Linked DNA regions of Danio rerio. The protein of the gene in region 2 interacts with the protein of the main gene of each other region in a biochemical or structural test. Links are inferred from orthologs where the notes say so. Each region holds a gene or a part of one and is shown on either strand. Other genes may lie near its edges. The genes, in order: klhl15, rbbp8 and siah2l.

Region 1 (7,796 bases), about 19 Mb from region 2:
ACATATTCATCTGAACACACTCTCTGCAGTTTGAACTAAGGCTGAGCGATTAATCGAAAAGTAATATAATCGACATTCAGAACAATATAATCGATCAAATTTTTCCTGGTCGACTTTTTCAATAACTTTCCCTACCGCGTGTGAGGTCACGTGCCCCCGCTCTATTAACTACATGTAGCACAAGCTCTGTGATTAATCGGTTTGGTAGCGGCGACGAGTGGGCAGCACGGAGAGTCGCTAGAGAGCATGTAGGAGCGATTATTAACAAGTGGACAGTGCCATGAAGAAGCTACATATGGAAACTTTTGTTTTGTGTTTACCTTACGATTAAAGATGTTGCACGTCCACCGGTTCCTGGCGATGGACCCATTCTTGAGCCTTACTTTGCACTACATTGACGATGAATGGAAGCTGCACCAGAGATGCCTTGAGATGGCTTATTTTCCATTACACTAAAACTATAATTTACTTTGAAATATTTGTTTATAGTAGATGCAAGAAATGTACTGTTTAAACAATTAAGAAGTGTTATTTTATTTAAAAGAGATATTCCTAATTTTTACTTCTCATATGAAAAATACTGAAAATAATTTTTCAAGTTATTTATTTTTGTTTTTTATAAGAAAAACGTGACTTTGTTTTGGGTGATGTGTGTTTTAATTTTAGTTGTTCAAAGTTGATGTCTGTAAATAATCATAGAAAGTAGACTGTGTTTCCTTCAATCATTTTGCAATCAAGTAATGCACGCTTCATTCAGAAATATCTGTCACTTGTATTATGTGAGCATATTTACTGTACAAAACACGTCAGTAAACTATGAGGGCGAAATAAATAAATAATCACTCAATAATTGTAACAGAGTTAAAATGTTTAATTGATCGAGATTTAAATTTATAGGCCAAATCGCCCAGCCCTTGTTTGAACTAAACTTTTTTTAAGCCCTAAATGAACTACCCTTGAGTATATCAGGGCACTTGATATGTATGACACTGAGTAGCACTTCATGTTCCTCATCCTTACCAAGTTATGCAGTTAAGAAAACAATAGTGTGATGAGTTTGTGGCCTTACCTTTTCGAGGCCTCCTGGCCAATCATGGGCTTTACTGCGCTGAAGGGACGTTCACATTTCCTCTGCTTGTACTTGCCCTGCTCTAAAACAAAGACCACATCCAGATGCTTGTAAACAGACAGGATAAATAATGATCATTTATATTTTTTGATTATCGTATTTTTCTTTTACCAATATTTTTATTCTTTAAAACCCTTTAAAAAATATTTTTTAAAGAGCAAAAATATGTTACAATACACATACAAGACACTAAGCAGCATTTGATTCATGTTCATATCTACTTGAAGATATCATGTGTAATTCAATGTGTTATTTACAGTCTTAATGAAACACAATTTGTTTTATTGGGGTAATATTAATATTGGGGTATATTTGATGTATTTTTATAGGGGTACTTTTAAACAACACCATGTTAATCTTAAGGAAACATTTTTGAAAAGAAAGCATTTTTGCTTTTGTGTGTTATTTTATATAGTTTTTTTTTTGTGTGTTATTTTATTATAGTTTGCACTTTTGCTAAATTAGGAAAAAAATTTGTAAAATTAAACGGATACTGAAGAAATCATAATTTACATGTGTAATACAAGAGAAATTTCACTTTAAGGAAATATGTACAATGTAGGCAATAAACTGCTTAAAGGTTATAGCAAATACATTTATAATGCTATAATATATACATATTTCAGATAAAAAGCATTTCTTCTAAACATTCCTTCATTCATTTTCTTTTCAGCTAAGTCCCTTTATTAATATGGGGTCGCCACAGCTGAATGAACCGCCAACTTATCCAGCACATGTTTTACTCAGCCGATACACTTCCAGCTGCAACCCATCACTGGTAAACACCCAAACAAACTCAATCACACACATACACTACGGCCAATTTTAGCTTACCCAATTTTCCTATACCACATGTCTTCTGGACATGCAAACTCCACACAGAAATGCCAACTGACCCAGCTGAGGCTCGAACCAGCGACCTTCTTGCTGTGAGGCAATTTTGCTACCCATTGTGCCACAGCGTCAACCTTCTTCTAAACATTCTATTAATCAAAGAATCTTAAAATAAATTGTGATCAAATGTAAATAGTTCAAACATGATCCAGCACATATTATTTCAAAATAGATCATGATCATGAATCTGTAGGTAACGGAGATGCAGGTAAACCTCATTTCTCTGACCTTAAAAGGTGCGCTAGCAACAAATGCTAGAGGCCATGGCCTTTACGCCACATTCACATGGGGCGTCAGCGTTAAAGCTTCCCATTCACTTTGAATGGATGATGTCAGGCGTTGCCGAACTGCATTGTGGATCCGTCGGTGCCGCTTCAGAGGCGTCAAAGAGCTTAGAATGACCAAGAGGCGACACTCAATAGAACGTTCCATTGCAACAGCAGCACCCAGCAACAGCCCCGGATTCCGCCATGTTGGAGTTAAAGTGATCGGCCGTCCATTGGATCTCATTACTGTCGCGATGGCAAGCAGCTGCTTTGTTTTTTATTTATTTATTTAAAAAGCGCATTAAAGCTGAGATACAACCTGAAAGACGACAATACAACACTTACTATCACAATCATCAGCACTTTTAATAGTTTATTTAACAGACTTATAATATGCTGTTGTTCTATTGGAGTTTTCATACCAAAATGGCAGCCGCCCTCTAGTGGCTGTTTCCCAAATTACACTAGAGTGTCGCCTCTTGGTCATTCTAAGCTCTTTGGTGGCGTTGCTCGCTGCAGAAGTTAGGACTTGCTCAACTTTTCAAGCACCGACGGAAGTGTCAGCCAATCAGATCACGGTATGCAAATACACCAGCTCAGACAGTGGCCTATTACTGACTATTTTCATTGGCTGACGTTGCTATGACGATCACGTCAGCCCTAACTTTAGACACGTCCTCTGTCAAGCGTTGACACTTGAGCCCCGTGTGAGGCGTTAGACTCCTTGTTAAGGCAACCAACTCCCATACAAAGAATCGCCGGTTCGATCCCAGCTCAGCATGGGTTGGGTGCAGTAGAACTGCAGTAGGATACAAGGGGGCTCGTTTGGGATGGGAATGAGATTTAGGTGGATGAGAATGATTATTCAAAGATCATGTGGCACTTAGGACTTGCATAAAGGCTACTGTATACCAAAAATTAGGTTTGCCATTAAAATAATAGATCACATTTATGTGTAGTACAGAAACAAATATGAACTGATTTACGTTTATATTAATATTACTATAATAAAGGTCATTTTCCTACATGTTAATATATCCTAATTTTATAGTTGTTTTTTTACATGACACTTCTTTTTAAATAAATAATAAAAAATTGAACAGATCCCTATATTTTAGATGGAACTTAATAAAAAAAAAACTCAAATGTCACTCATACAGTTAAAGTCAGAATTATTATCCACATTTTTATTTTTGTTTCTTTTTTAAATATTTCCTAAATTATGTTTAAGAGAGCACAGGAATTTTTCACAGTGAATAATATTTATAATAGCAGTGAATAACAGTCTGATAAAATTTTGTCTTCTGGAGAAAGTCTTATTTGTTTTATTTCAGCTAGAATAAAAGCAGTTTTTAATTTTTTTAAAACCATTTTAAGATCAAAATTATTCGCCCATTTAAGCTATTTTTATTTTCAATACTCTACAGAACAAACCATTGTTGTATTTTAACTTGCCTAATTACCCCACCTTGCCCAATTAACCTAGTTAAGCCTTTAAATGTCACTTTAAGTTGTATAAAAGTGCCTTAAAAAATATCTAGTAAAATATCATCATGACAAAGATAAAACAATTCGGTTATTAGAAATGAGTCATTAAAACTATTATATTCAGAAATTAGTTGAAAGAATCTTCTCTCCGTTAAAGAAAAATTGGGGGGCGAAATAAATGGGTCTAATAATTCAGGGGGGGCTAATAATTCTGACTTCAATTGTATGTCTCAAATGCTAACTGCTCCATAACTACCCAGATGCCTCTTAATTTTATATAAATTTTTTTTTACAATAAATCTTCTTGTTTTGACATACAATGTGATAAACATCTCTGTAACAATAACTAACAAGACAATTAGAGAAAAGTGTGAACACTACTAAAGGCAAATACTACTCTTAAACCTTATATTACACCTTACATGAATGAAAACCTTTGAATTTGAATGACCTCATGCTCAAAATCTCAGCAAACCACCATCAGACACAAAAACAACACTTGACTGATTCACAGAGAAGCTTGTATTATTATCATCTAATGTATTATGTCATGTTCAGAATTCAGTATCTGAACAAAACTGAAAATTGACTGTCAATATTGTGTCACCTACTAATCTGTCCGCCTAGACTGCATTCGTGATCACTAAATCTCAAAAAAACGCTTCACTTACATGTAATGACCAAACAAGCTGTCTACCTAGGGAGCTCACTAGATAGGTCAATATCATAGACACAGTCAATAATCACCGGTGACATGTCCTAGCAAATGTCAACGCTCTACAAACATAAGAATTCCGGTGTTTTCGGCAACGCCAGGTTAAAAGGAGTGTGTTTTAAAGCATGACAATGTTGCTGTGTGAAATGAGACGGTTTGTAGCAGGCTTTACCTCGGCGATGCGACTCCACGCAACCCCGCTTCGACCAGGGAGCCCGAGGTCCTTCGGACATGGAGTGCTGATGTCAGACAAAGAGCAGAGAAATTAAAGATTACATCTCATTATCGACGGAGCTGTGCTGCCCATTGGCGACTTTAGGTGACAATAAATCAATGTTATTTGTACGGAATCGCTAAATGTTGTTTGTCTATAGGCACCACAGCGATCGTAGACGCCATATTATTGTCTGCACTGACGTCATTTCCCGAACATTTGTCGGTCGGACGGAAATGTTGTTGGAGTTTCTCTGTGTCCACTGCAATGACTGTCTATGGAGTCTAAATGAACATGTTTTAGTCCGTCACAGAGCTGGAAATCGTTATGAGCACAAAATTTATGACTATATTATGATTTTAGATAATGCATTAGGCAGTTGAAAGATTTGAGAGGGGAAATCTCCTGTTTAATTAATATTTTATTATGTTATATTATTATATTATATTATATTATATTATATTATAGCTATATTATTCATTCATTTTCTTTTTTGACTTAGTCCCTTTATTAATCAGGCGTCGCCACAGCGGAATGAACCACCAACTTATCCAGCATATGTTTTTACGCTGCAGATACCCTTCCAGCTGCAACCCATCACTGGGAAACAATCACACGCTCATTCAGACACACTCATACACAATTTAGCTTACCCAATTCACCTGTACTTCATGTCTTTGGACTGTGGGGGAAACCAAAGTACCCAGAGAAAACCCACGCGAATGCAGGGAGAACATGCAAACTCCACACAGAAACGCCAACTAAACCAGCCGAGGCTCGAAACAGCGACCTTCTTGCTGTGAGGCGGCAGCACTACCTACCTACTACCTATTATTTCAAATGAAGACCCAGTTAATTAATTTGCTGCCATTGTGTGATAAAATATTATTTTATTATCAGCCTTTTATAGAGTTACTTTGTCCCCGAAAAAGTTCCTCACCACTCACTCCCCCTCGAATGTTTATTAGTTTTACTTTTGTAATGTTTGTAATACTTGTGTTTTGTTTTAACACAAAAATACATTTGAACCCTTTAACTGCCCCACCAAAAAAAAAAAAAAGATTACATTTCCAACTCCTAATGTTGCTAGTTAACACACTCAATGCTTTTTTTTCAGCACATCCAATAACTTCTAAAATATCAGCCTCTACCAAATGATTGATATGTCTGTGCATGGTAAAATTAATGGAATTAACACGTATACTATGAAAAGTGTAGGACCAATTTATTTTTAAAAAATATTCAAAATAAAAACATTTTGAATACTAAATCATTTTTATTTGTTGAAGTATGGCATAAAATATTTTACATTTTCATTTAACATGCTTTCTTGTGTGTTTGTTTGTTTGTTTGTTTTTTTACAGTAAAATTTTAATCAAGTGCAGTAGTGCAACAGGGTTACGTTTGTTTGATTTTTATTTATTTTTTTGTAAACCATCAATGCTGTGTGTAAACTAATATTTAAAACAGTCATTCTTTAAATTACTTTAACAGTCTTTATTTAAAACAGTATTAACATGGTCAACCGTTTAGTAGAGCGGCAGTCATAGAGGTAAAGAACATTGGAAACCGGTAGCCAACTTAATGAAAAATAATAGAAGTCAAAGGCTACCATTTTTTCAAAATTGTTATTTTTACTTGTTTTATTTTAAGAATATATATTTTTTATTTGTTTACTTTTACAGAATTTGTATACATTCAGACACGCTAGGAGATTATAATGGTTCTTCGCAATGTAGTGCAGGCTTTGAACTAGTTTCCCTCTCACATTATTGGTACTTTATTGATCCCTGAAGGGAAGTTATTCAGCAGATTGAAAAAAAATAGGTCAACACTGAATGGGGCATATAGGACAGTGATATACACATACAGTAAACGTATATAAGAGAAAAAATTAGAGGGCTCTTCTGAGTACATTTATGTCAATGTTGATTAATTGTAAATTTTTTTGTGAAATAAAAATAAATAAATAAAAACACAGTCCTCTGTACAAGAGACATGATGCACTCCCCACATTCATGTTTCTACAATGTTTAGTATGTGTAGTTGACAGCATTTATGTGATATTTTTATTTACACTGACTTTATACTTTTTCTTTAAATCAAAACTGATATAGAAAGTTATTTTGGGTGACATGTCACCAATAAGCTTTTAAAGCAATCACTCAAAATGGTTACTTTTTAAATATATTAATACACAAAAGATTTGCCTTCCCAGTGCTCATTTTTATTTTTAGATACTGTCTGTTTTTAAACTAAACTAATTTCCAGATTTTCCAAATCTTCCACCAGAATATTATTCATTCATTAATTTTTTTTTCAGATTGGTCCCTTAGTCCCATTAATCCAGGGTCGCCACAGTGGAATGAACCACTAACTTATCCGGCACATGTTTTTACGAAGCAGAACGTTATCTGGACTGGACCAAATTCTCAAAGTCTTTAGGTCTACTTTATAGGCTGATCTCCTCCATTTCTAATACCTCTTTCATTATTAAACAACAGTGGAAGTCAGACAATAAAATATTTCGTCCCCTGTTCACTGAAAAAAAAAACAATTCATTTGATTTATTGAAAAAAAAAAATTTGAGGGGCTGAATTTAAACAAACAAATTAAATTTAGTAATTCATTCATTCATTTTCTTGTCAGCTTAGTCCCTTTATTATTCCGGGGAATGAACAGCCAATTTATCCACCAAGTTTTTACGCAGCAGATGGCCTTCCAGCCACTACCCATCTCTGGGAAACATCCACACACACGTTCACACACACACACACACACACTCATACACTACTGACAATTTAGCCTACCCAATTCACCTGTACCGCATGTCTTTGGACTGTGGGGGAAACCGGAGCACCCAGAGGAAACCCACGCAAAGGCAGAGAGAACATGCAAACTCCACACAGAAACGGCCACTGAGCAGAAGTTCGAACCAGCGACCTTCTTGCTGTGAGGCGACAGCACTACCTACTGCACCAATGCCTCGCCTAAATTTGGTAATGTTCAAATTAATTTGTTTGTTCAAATGCTGCCCATATAAACTGTTTGCAACCATACATTAAGAACCATTTGCAATCATTAGCTTAA
Region 2 (8,032 bases):
GATAACGTAAATTTGATTTGAAACAGATAGCCAATATATTATTAACAAAAATAGCAGACAAATAATATCTATATCCATAATTGTTATGCATGATTGCAAAAACAAAAATCAAACACTTACAGAGAACAACTGATTTTATTTTAAAACTTTAACTTCAGAACAGTAACATTTACAACAAGGCAAAACCAGCAAAAATAAAGCATAAAAACAGCACAAATAAAAACCTAATTTTGTTATTAGACCAATCGAGATAACATTAAAATCAGGTTTGCTGATATTGATATGGCCACCGATGTATCATCCAACCCTAGTAGATACAGATGAGTTTCAGACAACTTAAAGTAAAAACTATTTATATCCATTTTTTTAACACTCAATTCTTACAAAATTCCATCTAAATTACAAATTCCAAATGCACAATTTCCAAAAGACATTATATATATATATATATATATATATATATATATATATATATATATATATATATTTTTTTTTTTTTTTTTTTTTTTGAATGTAACTATTTTTGGGACAAAATTATTAGCCTCTTTAAGCTATTTTTTTTCGATAGTCTACAGAACAAACCATCGTTATACAATAACTTGCCTAATTACCCTAACCTGCCTAGTTAACCTAATTAACCTAGTTAAGCCTTTAAATGTCACTTTAAGCTGTATAAAAGTGTCTTAAAAAATATCTAGTCAAATAATATTTACTGTCATCATGGCAAAAATAAAATAAATCAGTTATTAGAAATAGGTTTTTTAAAACTATTATGCTTAGAAATGTGCTGAAACAATCTTCCCTCCATTAAACAGAAATAGGGGAAAAAAATAAACAGGGGCGCTAATAATTCAGGGGGGCTAATAATTCTGACTTACATACACATACACATTTCTTATGAATTATTTATGATTTTATTTATAAATTTTGACCTCGACTGTTTATTTTTTCCCCAATTTTTGTTTAACAGAGAGAAGATTTTTTTCAACACATTTCTAAACAGAATAGTTTTAATAACTTATTTCTAATAACAGATTTCTTGTATCTTTGCCATGATGACAGTAAATAATAATTTACTAGATATTTTTCAAGACACTTCTATACAGCTTAGAGTGACATTTAAAGGCTTAACTTGGTTAATTAGGTTAACTAGGCAGGTTAGGGTAATAAAGCAAGTAATTGTATAACGATGGTTTATACAATCAAAAAGAAATACAGCTTAAAGGGGCTAATAAAATTGACCATAAAATGCTTTTTTAAAAATTAAAAACTGCTTTTATTGTAGTCGAAATAAAACAAATAAGACTTTCTCTAGAGGAAAAAATATTATCAGACATACTGTGAAAATTTCCTTATATATATAAAGTTTTGTATGGCTTCTTTAATTTTTCTTGTTAATTATAATTTATTAAAAATTTTCTAATTAACATATATATAGGGGTGTATTAATGCTTGCAGCATCATAATAGCTAGTTATGTTTTTTTTAATAATTTCCACTCTTAAAAATAATTACAACTAGCCAAACAAAAACGAAAAAACATTTATTTTATATGGCCTCCTTCATTTTTTTATTTATTGCAATTTATTTCAGATTTTTTGTAACATTCATTGGAGTCTAGTTCATTTTGAACTATAAATTGCAAATTATGTTGTTCGAATGGTTTCAGTTCTCCCTTTGTATTGACTTATCTCACAATAAACCAATAAATGATATTTGATCAAATATCTTACTGTTTAAGATCTCGCTGAAAGTATTATTTTAAAAGCAAGATGAATATTTTTCAGCGATCAATCTGTTAGAGTGCATTTATCTAAGCTGGACACAGTAAATAAGTTCAAACCTCTGAAACTAAACCATCATCTATTTACATTAAAGACAGCACAGTCCAATAAAATATGCTTTAATAACACCACTGAAAAAGAAATAGTCACCAAAAATACTCACCAAGCTCAGAGATGACAGACAGATTTCTCTGATTATTATCTTCAAGCTCAGTGTTTGTCTTTTTAATCTGCTTCTCTTTCACAGTGCAGCGATCGCATGGTCCAGAACGCAACCTAAAAAAATAACACAGTGACTAAAACTGAGCTCCGAATTCAGGATAAATGCATAAAAAACATGATCAATAGGTTTGCTTGTGAGCACCTGTCCTCCAGCTGTCTGATCTTCTCCTGCTGGATCTTCTGTTGCTCTCGTAAATGTTGATTCTTGCTGTGAAATTCACTCAATTTCTGAGCATCTCTGAGAAAAGAGACACAATATTATTATTATTAATAATAATAATAATACAGTCAAATAGGATATGTGGCATTACAGATTACAGATTAAAAAAGGTTTTTCAAAATAGCTTAAGCATGTTTAATGATCATCACAAATATTTATTCATGCTTTAATGACTCTCAAACTGATTTATATACATTTTTAAATATATTTGCATGTACACTGTATACGACGTGGACTTACAGACAGCGCTCTTTCTTCAGTTTAGCTATTTTTGCTTGTAATTCTGAAAATGAGAAACATGTATGTTGTCAGAGAAAAGAAAAATATTTTAATAAGTTATTTGACAATCTATTTTTATTATAAAAGTTATCAAATCAGAAAAACAGAATCCACAATACAGTTTTTCTCAGTCGATCAACAGTAACTGCATTTCTCAAAACATTTTGTCATTTGTGCACATCATAGCAGCAGTTTCTTATTCCGTCTAACAAATTGCAAATGCTTTCTGACGTGTATCAATTGCTTTTATACAACTCTCTGCTGTTTATAACATTATCATTTGTTTATGTCATGTCAGTTCAAATTAACTGAACTTGTGAATGCTGAATAGTCACTCCATATAAAACTAATAGTCCTCTTTTATTACTTATTACTCTTTTATTCTTTACATACAAAAATGTTAAACTAGCTGTCCAAATCTCTCAAGCAAATTTTATAAAATCTTTTTTTTTTCTGAAAATTTCTTGTAAATTGAATGATTTGATGAATTATTTAAAGACCTCTATGTTGTAGGTTCAGTTCCAATATGTTCTGCAATATTGTTTACAGGTGTGCACAGCTCTACCCAAAGGGAGATTAGGTTTGTTGTAAATTTGTGTGTATTTATTCTTCAGCGCAACGATGTGAATAAATTAAAATTGCAAGATTATGCAGTAAAAATGTAAAACACACATATTCAGTGTCTTGTACTCAGATACCTCAATAAATGCAGAGATGTCTAACTTTACTGTAGTTTTCAAATGGCTGTGCAAATAGTGTATAGTTCTGTCCAAAGCATTTTCAGCAAATGTCACCAAAATCTGACTTTATTGCATTGGATGTAATGTAAAGAGTGAACTGTCATAAAGAAGACAAAGCCATTTGACTATCTTGTTCATAAACAATGTTGTGGTAATTGTGTATATTGTCTTTAAGTGATATTTACAAGTGGTTTCAGACCGAATAGTCAAATACCATGGTAAACAATATAGAGAGATTGTCTATATTGAGAGAATATAAAACCAACTTTACCTCAATTAAGTAGGCTAACAATAATTACCTATATTTCAAAGTAATTGCTTAAATTACATTTTTAGCATACAAGTAATGTAATTAACTAAGTAACTAGTTGTTATGTAATTATTTATACTCCACTCAGGTTATTTACCTTGCAGTGCGGTGTCGTGCAGGTCTCGGACAGCGGTCAGCAGCTCCTGCAGTTTCTCCCTGTGGTCTGAGGATGAAGCAGGACTCAGATCTGCTGGAGTGATGCTCATCTTCACTCTGTTTCACTGTAAATCCTTCACAACTCCAGCATTTACACAAATACATTTAAAAAAAACTCTCCACTTACACCTGACAAATTCCCTCCTGAATGTTTACACAAACGTATATCCGCGTATAAGACTAAAATAATAGGCATTTAAACATGGAAACGCGCGTTCAATATACCTTCAATAATTGGGGTTGTAAATATTCTGATTGCCCGCTTCTTCTTTTTCTTTTTCTTCTTTGGTTGTTAATGGCTGTAGGCAACTGAACTTTGCCGCCACCGACTGGAATGGAGTAATGGAACTGGGCGTGCAGTGGCGTGGGTTCCGGGTGCTCCGGTTTCCCCCACAGTTCACAGTCACACACATATAGGTGAGTTGAATAAACTAAATTGGCCGTGTAAATGTGAGTGTGCATGGGTGTTTCCCTGTGATGGGTTGCAACTGGAAGGACTTCCGCTGTGTTAAACATATGCTGGAATAGTTGGCGGTTCCCCTGATAAATAAAGGGAATAGGCTGAGCTGAAGGAAAATTAATGGATGAATTGTTTTTGTTTGCCAACTATGATTTCTTAGTTTTATTTCAGTTAATCAAAATGCTTTTTGACCAATGTTTTTTGTTTTAGTCTAAGTTTACGTTTTCGTTTGCTAAAATAACCTTGGAGAGTAAGGAAACTGCGTGTGTGTGTGTGTGTGTGTGTTTGTGCGCGTGTTTGTGTGTGTGTGTGTGTGTGAGAGAGAGAGAGAAAGAGAAAGAAAGGAGAGAGAGAGAGAGAGATATTCGGACAAACGTGTATAATGACATGGGTATGACACGGGTATTACAAAGAGACTGTGAATTATGAGGACATTGCTAATGTCAATTTTTTCAATTCAGAATAGGGTTGGGGCAATAGAAAATACAGCTTGTATAGTGTAAACAATAATAGTTACTTGACCAATGGAAAACAATAGAATAATATCAAATGTTCCCACAATTCACAAAAGCTAACCCTGTGTCTGTGTGTAGTGGCAGGAAAGTTTGTGATTTCATTCATTCGCTCATTTTCTTTTTGACTTTCCTTTTAGTCCCTTTATTAATTTGGGGTCACCACAGTGGCATGAACTCCCAACTTATCCAGCATGTGTTTCACGCAGCGGATGCCCTTCCAGCCGCAACCCATCTCTGGAAAACATCCATTCACACTCATACACTACGGACATTTTAGCCTACCCAATTCACCTATACAGCATGTCTTTGGACTGTTGGGGAAACCAGAGTGCCCTGAGATAACCCACGTGAACGCAGGGAGAACATGCAAACTCCACACTGAAACACCAACTGACCCAGCCGAGGCTCGAACCAGCAGCCTTCTTGCTGTGAGGTGACAGCATTACCTACTGCGCCACCGTGTCACGTTTTTGTGAACTCTTTAGAATAAAATATTTTTCTGCTGCAATTCATCATAAAATTTGAGTCACAATGACAGACAAACATACTGTGCATACATTTATCAAGCAAACAATTCTAGTTTCTTGTGTCTTTGTTGATCACAAAATATTAAAGAGTGACTGACTGACTGACTGACTGACCGATCAACTGACCCACCTTCCCTATACTCAACCAATAGTGTTTTCAAAAGCAGCAACTGACCAGCCCAACACCTTCCCTAAACCCAACTTGCAGTGTTTTAAAAAGCAATCCAGAAAAAAAAGCCCTCGTCAAATTTTTACTGCATTTTCAGATTTTTCCACATTCTTTACATGTTTATTTAATTTTTTTGGCTTCTGTTTTTGTCTTCAGGAACCATTCTTTGCTGGATTCAAACTCCATCATCATGGTCAACTCCTCTCTGCATCTCAAGTCCATCGACGAATGCGTCAAGCTACTGGGCAAACTGGTAACAGCAGAAAAGGCTGTATGCGATCAGCTGCTTAGCAAGAACGTTGTCACACCACCCCGTAGCATTTGTTTTAAAGACAAAATGTAGCCATATGTGTATCTGACCGTCGACTGTCATGGTAAAAAACAACTACATTTTGACCAAAAAAGTTTTTGAGCCCATATGACCAAATTACTGACCCAATAACTTTGAAGCATGAATGAAACGTTTTGGGTGAGTACAGGGCCGGCTCATCTATAGAGGCTACCTAGGCAGCCGCGACACCTCCCTCACCACCTGCGTCCTAAGTTATATCCGCGAACAGCCACCCCCTCCTCAACTTGCTACCTTTTCACTTTTGTTTTCACTTTCAGATTGTGGGTAGCGTGATCGTCAGATAATATTCATACATGTAAATCTTGAAATGACTTAACAAAATATCCATATAATATTATACAATAAAATATAACATAATAACATCTAAAACACTCAAATATTTCTATAGTAGAACTACATGACACCGTCGGCATCAATACATTGTGTACCGTGCGTTGACGTAGCCTATCGCTGTTTTTGTTATAAATAAGCACACACATACACACAGACACACACACACATATATACATTGTTTTATATATATATATAGTTTCCCAGAGATGCGTTGCGGCTGGAAGGGCATCCGCTGCATAAAAACGTGCTGGATAAGTTGGCGGTTTATTTCGCTGTGGTCACCCCGGATTAATAAAGTAACTAAGCCGAAAAGAAAATGAATATATATATATATATATATATATATATATATATATATATATATATATATATATATATATATATATATATATATATATATGGGTAATTTCTGGCATTTGGTAATATTTCAGCTTGAACAAACTCATTTTTATAAGTCTGTTGATTATATTTTAAATAGCCTACATAATTAGGCACAATTTAAACTTTCAAAAATTTCCCTCAGGCATTACAGCTTTCATATTATTTTCAGTTTTATTCTTATTTGGACACCTATAATTCTCAACCCCATTACGGACAAAACTGAGTTGTTAATAATAGTATTTTACAAAGCTTTTGCTATCAAACCAAAATTTACCTATTGCTCATATGTCCCTCAAATCACTGTAATGACTAAAACATAATATTTTTGATAAGTTTTAGATTTATATGTGATTTAACTTACAACTATACAATTTATGAATTCTGTGGTCTCTTAATTTTTCTAAAAATCTTTTATATTTAGATGTCTTACCCAAACCACATATTTACAGTGTTAGGCCTTTACATGGTGGTTGGTACTCAGCAAGAATGTTTTCCATATTTAATTGTTTTCCTTATTTTATTTTCCAAAAAATATTAATTTCACAGGGTTGAGAATACAATGAAGGGGTTGAAGACCATATCAGGGTTGAGGGGACACTTTAATTTTAGTTTTAATTTGTTTTAATTATTTGAAATTACATCTAAGACTTAACCAAAACACTTATTTATTTTAGCAAAATATTTAGCAATGGCTTAACACTAAGATGAAATTAAACTTTATTAAACCAAACTACAGTCAGAATTTAAAAAAGGAAACTGCTGAAGGTAAATGGACCATTAGTAACCTTTAAAAATACTGATAAAGGCCTATGATAACAAATATATTGCTGAACAGAACCTACAGTAAACAGGAGCAACAGGTAAAAACTGCAGCAGAAAAATTCTTAATGAAATTGCTGATGAAAATTTTTAATAATAAAAATATCTATATTTTTTTTATTTATATATATATAGATAGATACACAGATATATATGGGGCAGTACTGGGTGACTGATGAAGGATTTCATACATTGAAACATTTCATATACTACTTCAATCTTTCGGGTTGTAAGTTTATCTTGCTGAACTTTAAACCTTTTTCATAATTTCTAAACTCTTTGTGCACCCAAGGCTATTTAGGCCTACTTGAACTTCACAGAATTTGATATAAAATATTTCTCATCTGTTTTGTAGGAAACCTGAATAAGTATTGTAAACATTTCAAAAGCTTCTTCACCAAATATGCTAGATGGGTAAAATAAATAACTGCATCACGAGCTTGAACTCAGCATGATCCTCCATTAAAGTACCGGTATCTACTGTACATGCACCTGAAGAGATGCTCGTTTTCAATTTCTAAAGAAACCTACAACAATGAGGAGGAAGGCTGTTTATGTAGTATTAAGATTTATATTTACATAATTACATCAGAGCATTTATATTTGATGATCTGATGAAACATGAGGAAACGGCGGGGCATAATGTAACTCCTCCCCTTTAAAAAAAACTGCCAATAGCGTTTTGTTTTTATTACAGCTGAGCTCTGCCAGTGTGGAAACAAATTAGGCTACTCTAAAATAATTAATAAGTTTAAGCCTTCACACA
Region 3 (8,135 bases), on a different chromosome or scaffold from region 2:
AACTCCCTTAAACATGGAGAAGATACCTTTTATCCCATGATGTTATTCACATTGCATGTAGTTATGTTAGACTGTAAAGTGTGCACGAAGAAATTTTTCTGAAACTCAATGTGATAATGGAGCGTTTTCAATCTAAAATGCCGCTATAAATTGAAAACACACTGTTGTAAATGGTACCTTATGCCTAGTTCAGACTGCGTGATTTTAGCCCTGATTTTGGCTCGCCGACAGGTTTTGAGAAATCGCTGACAAATGCCTGAAATCACAGGCAAATCGCTGCTCGTGCACGTGAGTGACAATCACACAGTATGAACGATCAAAGACGCGATCTGAGAGAATCGCCAATGAGTCGCCGATGCCTGCGAGATATTTGGCGTGCTAAATATCTAGAGTTGTCGGTGATTCAAATCATGCCGTGTGAATGGAGTTTTGACTGAAAATAACATCAGCCATCGCCTACAGCCAATGAGAGAGCAGCTTTCACTTGTGCAGGCCAGCGGGAGGCTGGAGAAGAAATTAAAAGCGCTCTTTTTCGGTTTATTTGGACTCACGAAATGGAGGGAAAACTAGTGGAGGTTTGACAGGACTCAGGAGCAACCGTGTCTGTTTGACGTTACATACAGAAAGAAATTAGTTTATTATCAACGTTGAGGAGAAATGGCAAATTCCCTTTAAACCCAGGTGAGCAAACATGTACGTGTTCTACCCCATTAAAGGCTTCTTTCTCATTATGTAGTTAATAACAAAAGATATACTACATGTTTTTGGCTGTGAGACGTAGTTTGGTTGAAGTTGTCCGCGATTCTCCCTATAGTAAAGTCATGCAATGTGAATGTCCATGTTGCCGATCCATCTTGCAGTGTAAACAAAGCAGCGACGAAATGCTAGCCCAGATAGTCATGCAGTGTGAAAACATCTGTGACACGACTAGTTTGAAAATCAAGCAGTCTGAACTCGGCATTAGTGTTTTGTTTTTGTCACTGGTAACCAAAACTGCTCAATTTCTAACAATTCTTTAAAATATGTTCTTTTGAGTTTCAGTCAGTTAACCTTCTAAAGAAGAAATCGTGAGAAATTTCTCATGAGAAATTCATGGGATTTTTCCTGACCACAGTAGGTTCTAGATGATCATGTCCTCAGCGATCAAAAAATAAAATTTTTTTAACCAAAAGATACTAAATGTGCTCAGCATTTACACAGACGGACCAGCATCCAATAAATAAGCAACTTATTTTCATGACCCCTTACTAGGGCTGCACGATATAAACAAAATCTGACATAGTGACATTTTGTTTTTTTGCAATATATATTGCGATATAAACTCCATTATACCAGATAACTTTATTAGCTCTATTTGGAAATCAGTCATTCATTTAGTTAAGATTATTATTTGCATAAAGTTTAATAAACAAAATTCATTCATTCATTCATTCATCCAATTATTTTATTTTCGGCTTAATCCATTTATTAATCTGGGGTCGGCACTCGCAACAGTGGAATGAACCGCCGACTTATCCAGCATATGTTTTACACAGAGGATGCCCTTTCAGCTGCAACCCATCACTTGGAAACATCCATACACACCCATACACTACGGACAATTTAGCCTACCCAATTAACCTATACCACATGTCTTTGGACTTGTGGGGGAAACCGGAGCACATGGAGGAAAAAATTTTTTCAATCATTTATTAATATAACAGATCAAAAGATAAAAGTGAAATAAACAGTGCATTTCATGGGAGTTTTTTAATAGTATTCAGCTAAAGAAAAGGAATAATGAAAAATAAAACAGGACTGTATAGTATTGATCATATTAATAATTTATGAACTATGAATTTAACCTTCATTAAGTCACAAACAATAAACATTTCTTGACTCTGAATGCTTTAAACTTTCCTGAAATCCTTACAATCATAGGCAATTGATACATTTTTACTCTATTAGGGTTACACTATAATATCAACTCAACATTGCAGATCATACAATGTAACTCTTGCTTATGCGCACATTATCGATGATATCGATGCTAAAACGATATTGTGCAGCCCTACCCCTAACTGTCAGAACAAGAGCATTGGTATAAACACTAATTGTCAAAGGTGAATACAAAATAATGTTAAGAGGTAATGGTGTCAGAAACCTGTTTAGTTTAGCACATGGCACAATTCCAGAATTACACAATTCACATACATCCACAAACACACATACATTTTAATGCTGCTATAGCTGACCATTGAAGAACAGACAAAGCCCTTTTAAAAACAAGCAGCAGATGCAGCTTTACTTTCACCACAAACGTTGAAGGCTACTTTCCTTCGCTGACGGCTGGTATCACTTTAGAAACTGCTCTACATCAAGTACCAGTCGCCACGTCCTGATTACAGCCACTGTAAGGAGGAAACATTAGCCCAGGGAACAAGAGTAGTGATCAACTTTCACAGGCCAGCGATAACAGAGGATACAACTTTAATGCACTGATGATGCAATAAAAGGGTTTCAGGTCAATCACAATAAAAAGAAAACTTTCAAAACTGTGGAGAGCTAGAACTAATCTAGGGTGAATTCAGATTCAACAAAAAGTTATTCTGGTAGTGGGTATACTAAACAAGATTTCTAACATCTGAACCAAATCAATGGTTTCAGTAACTGGGCTGCTAAAATGTGAGATTTCGAAAATCAAGTCATGTTTGTTTCTTGTCAGATTTCTAGATTCAGAATTAGATGTGTAATTGTGAATGAATGAGGTTAATTCAAGGGATAGTGCAACCCAAAAAAACAAAAAATTCTGCTATCATTTAATGACCCTTGACTTCCAAACCTGTTTTTTGTTCTTCTGTTGATAACTTTTGGAAACTAGTAACCATTGAAATTCATAGAAGGAAAATGTGATATTATGGAAGTCAATGATTTACAACAGTCTTCAAAATATCTTCTTTTGTGTTCAACAGAACAACAAAACTCAAACTGAGTAAATGATGGCAGAATTTTCATTTTCGGGTGAACTGTCCGTGTCAGTTTCATACTAAACAACTGCAGAGATTTGGTGAAAATTCAGTAAAAAAGCCACTTGTGATCCAGCGTAATTTGCAATTTAGCCAATAGACTGAATAAATCACAAAAGAAAAGTATTACTTGAAATTGAGATGTTAGTGTGACAAAGAAAAATTATTTCATATGTGATTGCATTAATGCACAAACGAGTTTGAGTTTATGCAATTAAATCAAGCTTTCTGTATTTTTATTTTAAGCATGATTATTATTACACATCAACTGTCACACAACATGTGGTAAGTTCAGCATTCTATTATAAAATAATTAAGGAAGTAACAACAAACTCGAAAACAAAAATAATTTGATTCACAAAATTAAGAAAATGGATAAAAAGATTTAAAAGGTTTAAATATGTGTGATAAATTGCATAGCCATTTCTAACAAATAGTATTTACTAATACGACAAGTCAACTGAGAGAAAATGTAGTTGCTGTCCTTAATTCAACTTTGACAGTCAATTTAGCTTGCATTATATTAAATGGACTGATATCTACAATATACAGCACTTCAAGTAGATCAAAAGTTTTTTATAGTATAATTAATAACATAAAAATAAAATAAAAAAACAAAAGTATCATAAAATTGGACTAGTTTTCATGATTAAGCCATGTCAGTCTCAATTTTTAGACATGTGCCCTCAACATCAACCATCTAAATTACAAAATGTTTGTTCTCAAACAGGTCTCCCCGATACACAACGCCTCCTTAGCCAGCCATTGGTTGGATACAGTCAAAGCCCCGCCTCCTAACTGATGCCATTGGTTGAAGCAATATTGAAGCCACTAAATTACTAAAGTCTCTCAATTTCGGTTATTTCATCCAACTAAAAACTCAATTTAACTACCTAAGTGACCGACTATAATATTCAACCAATGAAAAAACACACTTCAGCAGCATAAACAAAAACACTGATCTGATATGATAGCCAATGCACCTGTGGCATCTCGAGTTTTAGTTACACTTCCTAAACTCATGCGTGCCATCATGCAGTGCTGACTGAAACAATACTGCAGGCGACTTTGCATTGGTTATTATGACAGTCGTGAACGCGCAATTCTTACCTTACACGGAAACGGCAGAGTAGATGCAACTTTTTCCATTGCCAAGTTCCGTATGCTCGGCGTGAGAGGGCCGCGACAGGTCGGGCAGCAGCTGAGCTTTTGCCGACACTGGTTACACACCAGATGCCCAGCCTGGCACTGCAGGATCGGCGGCAGCACATAGTCGAAACACACCGGGCACTCAAACAGCGCTGTCAGCTCGGGGGACTGTCCCGGAAGAGCCGCGACTGGAAGCGCTACAGCTGCTGCGGGAACCGTACCAGAACCCGCGACGGAGCCGGACACCCCCGCGGCGGCTGCAGCTGCTGCGGCGGCCGCGGCAGCAGCGGCGGCGGCGGCAGCAGAGGCAGTTGTTCCTCCAGAACCTCCATGCTTACTTCCTCCTGCTTTTCCAGCTCCGAGTCCTCCGGCCGCTCCACCCGCAGAGGACGGACGGCTCATGGCGAGGAGTGTCGGTCGATGTTTGATGGTGTAAAACCCCGAGTAGCTGAAGCCCGAGAGCCTCACCGTCCACTCCCGACTGAACACGGACTCGGTTCCGAGTAGCCTCCTCCAATCCCCCGCGGATACAACATGGCCGCCATAGTTTGAGAGCGAGTAATGAGACTATTGGGTGAAGGAAGTTTGATTGACACTCTCCTCAGCCAATCAGAGAGTAGCTCCTGCGGTTTATGTAAGAGTTGCCGGAATATGTAGTAATTGCGTGAGTGGCTGTAGTGAAGTAAACAGCAAACATTTGCGCGGTGGTTCTTTCACACGATGTTTCACTGCTTTATGTAATCAGTAGACTGTCGTGTTGGAAAGAAACAATGAGAAAGAATCAATAACAGAACCAGTGAACATTCTGGAAACATTTTCGTTGTTAATGAAAGAAGTATCTTCTCATCACAGAGGCTGCAAGTCAAAGTCAACTTTATTGTCAATTCAAGCACATGTGCAGGACATACATTCGTTCATTCGCTTAGTCCCACAGGGGAATGAACCGCCAGCTTATCCATCAGCTTATCCAGCATATGTTTTATGCAGCAAATGCCTTTCCAGCTGCAACCCATCACTGGAAACATCCATTCACACACATACACCACGGACAAGTCACCTATTCCACATGTCTTTGGACTTGTGGGGGAAACGGAGCACCCGCAGGAAACCCACACAAACTCCACATGGAAACGCCAACTGACCCAGCCGGGGCTCGAACCACCGACCATCTTGCGGTGCTACACACTACGCCACTATGCTGCCCTTACAGGACATACATTGAAAATTGTGTTACTCTCAGACCCTAGGTGACTAACAGATATTATTGATACAAAAAGTTACATTTTAAAATAGAAATTACAATAAATACAATTAATGTTACACATATAAAATAATGTAAAGATATACGTGAAAATTAAGATTTGTAAACAATTCAATTAAGGGCACATGATAAGGAGTGCAAACCAGGAGTTGTGCAGATGCAAAACAGTATATAGTGCAAAAATATGATATATGATAAAGTGACACTGTCTTAATATTAAGGAGGTAGCATGAGGTAACTACAGAGGTAGTATGAGGTGTTATTCGTTTAGAAATGCAAAAAAACAGTAAATATTATTTAATTTTAAAGAGGTATTTTAGTGAATTAAAGATTTTTAAGCACTGTTACTCCACTTATTTTTATAAAGCTTATTTACAATTAATGTTCATGCTCAGTCAATAATAATAGTTTTCATTATGCTAAATGTTGAACGCATCCTTTCTGCTTTATGTTTTTGTAGAAACCAAGTTTCATTTTACTTTCCAGGATTCTTTGAAGAACAGAAATTATAAATAATTGATCAATTAAACACAATGGAATGTTTTACTGTCACTTCATAATCACGTCATGTAATTTTCATCCGCTTTTCCAGGGCCGGGTTGCAGGGGCAGCAGTCTTTAGGAGAGAACTCCAGACTTCCCTCTACCCAGACACTACCTCCAGCTTCTCCGGGGGGGGATCCAGAGGCGTTCTCAGGCCAGACGATAGACATAGTCCCTTCAGCGTGTCCTGGGTCTTCCCGAAGGCCTTCTCCCGGTTTGACATGCCTGGAACATCTCCCTAGGTAGGCGTCCTGGAGGCATCTGAAACAGATGCCCGAGCCACCTCAGCTGACTTCTCTTGATGTGTAGGAGCAACAGCTCTACTCCGAGCTCCTCACAGGTGACCCTGCAAAGGAAACTGATTTCGGCCGCTTGTATCCAAGATATTGTCCTTTCGGTCATGATCCCAAGCTCATGAACATAGGTGTAGGAACTTAAATTGACCGGTAAATTGAGAGTTTTGCCTTTCGGCTCAGCCCCTTAGACCGGTACATCGACCGTATTACTGCAGCACCAATCTGCCTGTCAATCTTATGCTCCATTCTTCCCTCACATGTGAACAAAAACCCAAGATACTTGAACTCTTCCACCTGGGGTAAGGACTTTCCTCTAATGGAATGTCTGATGAAAAAATTAGAATGAAAAATAAATGTCTGAGCATCATCCTCATTAAGAAGATTTCTGAACATCACTACTTGTTGTGCTACTTAAGTAATAAAGCTCAAAATTCATCTTTGAATCACAGTAATAAATTTATTTCTAAAATACATTCAGATAATATATCACAATGTGACAATATTAATGTTTTTGTTATTTCCCAAAAGCAATAATGATCTTAACGTTAGACCTTTGACTGGTTTACATGTAGAAAGCGGCCTCTTTTTTTTTTTTTTTTTTTTTTACTGTGCAATGCATTTAAAATAACCTAATCAATGTTTTTGAAATTCTTCTCATTCACTCTTAATCTGGAACCATTTAATTTTTGTTTTTATTTTAAATTACAGTTTGCATGTAAATACACAATGAATACAATATTACAGCTAGCATCAGTGAATCAGAGTCAAGGACGCCGGGTGAGTGTATTAACTGCTTATTAAATAATTATATCATAGCAGTTTCTACAGTATTCGAAGAGTAAAACATCACAAACCTTGTCCCGTCTAACCAGCTCCCTCTGCTGGCATTTCATTTTATTTTATTTTTCTGTATTTACTAACGTCACCGGTTTATTTATCAAAGTTAGGGCCAGACAGAATCTGAAGATTTATGCGGAATGATTTTAGGAGTATCATAACTAAAAACTTAATGTATAAAATAAAAATAAATTTGTAACTTTATTGTTTACAATGCAAATCCAATTAGATTCACTTTTTTGGTAAACAAAACAAGTCTCTTTAAAGTAGTCATAATATCTCCACTAAAAGACAGAACATATTACTTTACAAACTGTATTGTAAATAAATCTTATGAACATTTTAATATTGTTATATTACAATAATAAACTGAATAAAATATGAATTTACACAGTTACGCAAGTAAATACAAAGACTTATGTATGATGGGCTAAAAATCTGTAGATTTCTGCGTGTGCAGATTCAGTGTGGGCCCAATCATAGTTCAACAATTACTAGTGTATTATTTAAATCCAAATTAAGGCTTGCTAACATTAGTTAAAGCACCTAGAGTTAAACTAGCAATGAACAACTTTATTTTCATTAAGTAACATTAACACAGTTAAATAAATACTGTTATTATTGTAGTGTTCATTGTTTGTTCGTGTAAGTAAATGCATTTTTTTTACATTTATCTCACTACACAACAAAAACTCTTACAATACATATTTCTTGTACATATATATATATACACACATGTGTATATATATATATATATATATATATATATATATATATATATATATATATATATATATATGTATAAATATATAAATATATATATATATATATATATATATATATATATATATATATATATATATATATATATATTAGGGGTGTCATGATTTCGATTTTTAATCGAAATCAATCTAAATTTATGCTCGACTTCAATTATCGAATCAAAAAATAGAATCGTCGATGCTGCCACGCCCCCATGTCAAGTTAGCTTGGCTTGCCAAGCGGGAAAAAAACATGCTTGTTGAAGTGCTTGTTAAACTGCAGA

Evidence for each region.
Region 1: the proteins of rbbp8 (region 2) and klhl15 form a complex in vitro, tested with the Homo sapiens proteins (2 studies listed by BioGRID, with this or other methods). The link is inferred for Danio rerio from reciprocal best matches to the Homo sapiens genes RBBP8 and KLHL15.
Region 3: the proteins of rbbp8 (region 2) and siah2l form a complex in vitro, tested with the Homo sapiens proteins (2 studies listed by BioGRID). The link is inferred for Danio rerio from reciprocal best matches to the Homo sapiens genes RBBP8 and SIAH2.

Annotation. Positions count from the first base shown.
Region 1 is NC_133199.1:20,844,421-20,852,216, forward strand, and holds the start of klhl15 (kelch-like protein 15), read right to left. Parts: upstream 4,968-7,796; 5' UTR 4,665-4,967; intron 1,152-4,664; 5' UTR 1,070-1,151; intron 1-1,069. UniProt on the Homo sapiens protein: Substrate-specific adapter for CUL3 E3 ubiquitin-protein ligase complex.
Region 2 is NC_133199.1:39,942,209-39,950,240, reverse strand, and holds the start of rbbp8 (DNA endonuclease RBBP8), read right to left. Parts: upstream 3,998-8,032; 5' UTR 3,936-3,997; exon of another isoform or gene 3,793-3,935; 5' UTR 3,761-3,792; coding exon 3,652-3,760; intron 2,509-3,651; coding exon 2,466-2,508; intron 2,244-2,465; coding exon 2,148-2,243; intron 2,060-2,147; coding exon 1,947-2,059; intron 1-1,946. UniProt on the Homo sapiens protein: Endonuclease that cooperates with the MRE11-RAD50-NBN (MRN) complex in DNA-end resection, the first step of double-strand break (DSB) repair through the homologous recombination (HR) pathway.
Region 3 is NC_133196.1:42,018,339-42,026,473, forward strand, and holds the start of siah2l (E3 ubiquitin-protein ligase Siah2), read right to left. Parts: upstream 4,702-8,135; 5' UTR 4,557-4,701; coding exon 4,116-4,556; exon of another isoform or gene 4,114-4,115; intron 1-4,113. UniProt on the Homo sapiens protein: E3 ubiquitin-protein ligase that mediates ubiquitination and subsequent proteasomal degradation of target proteins.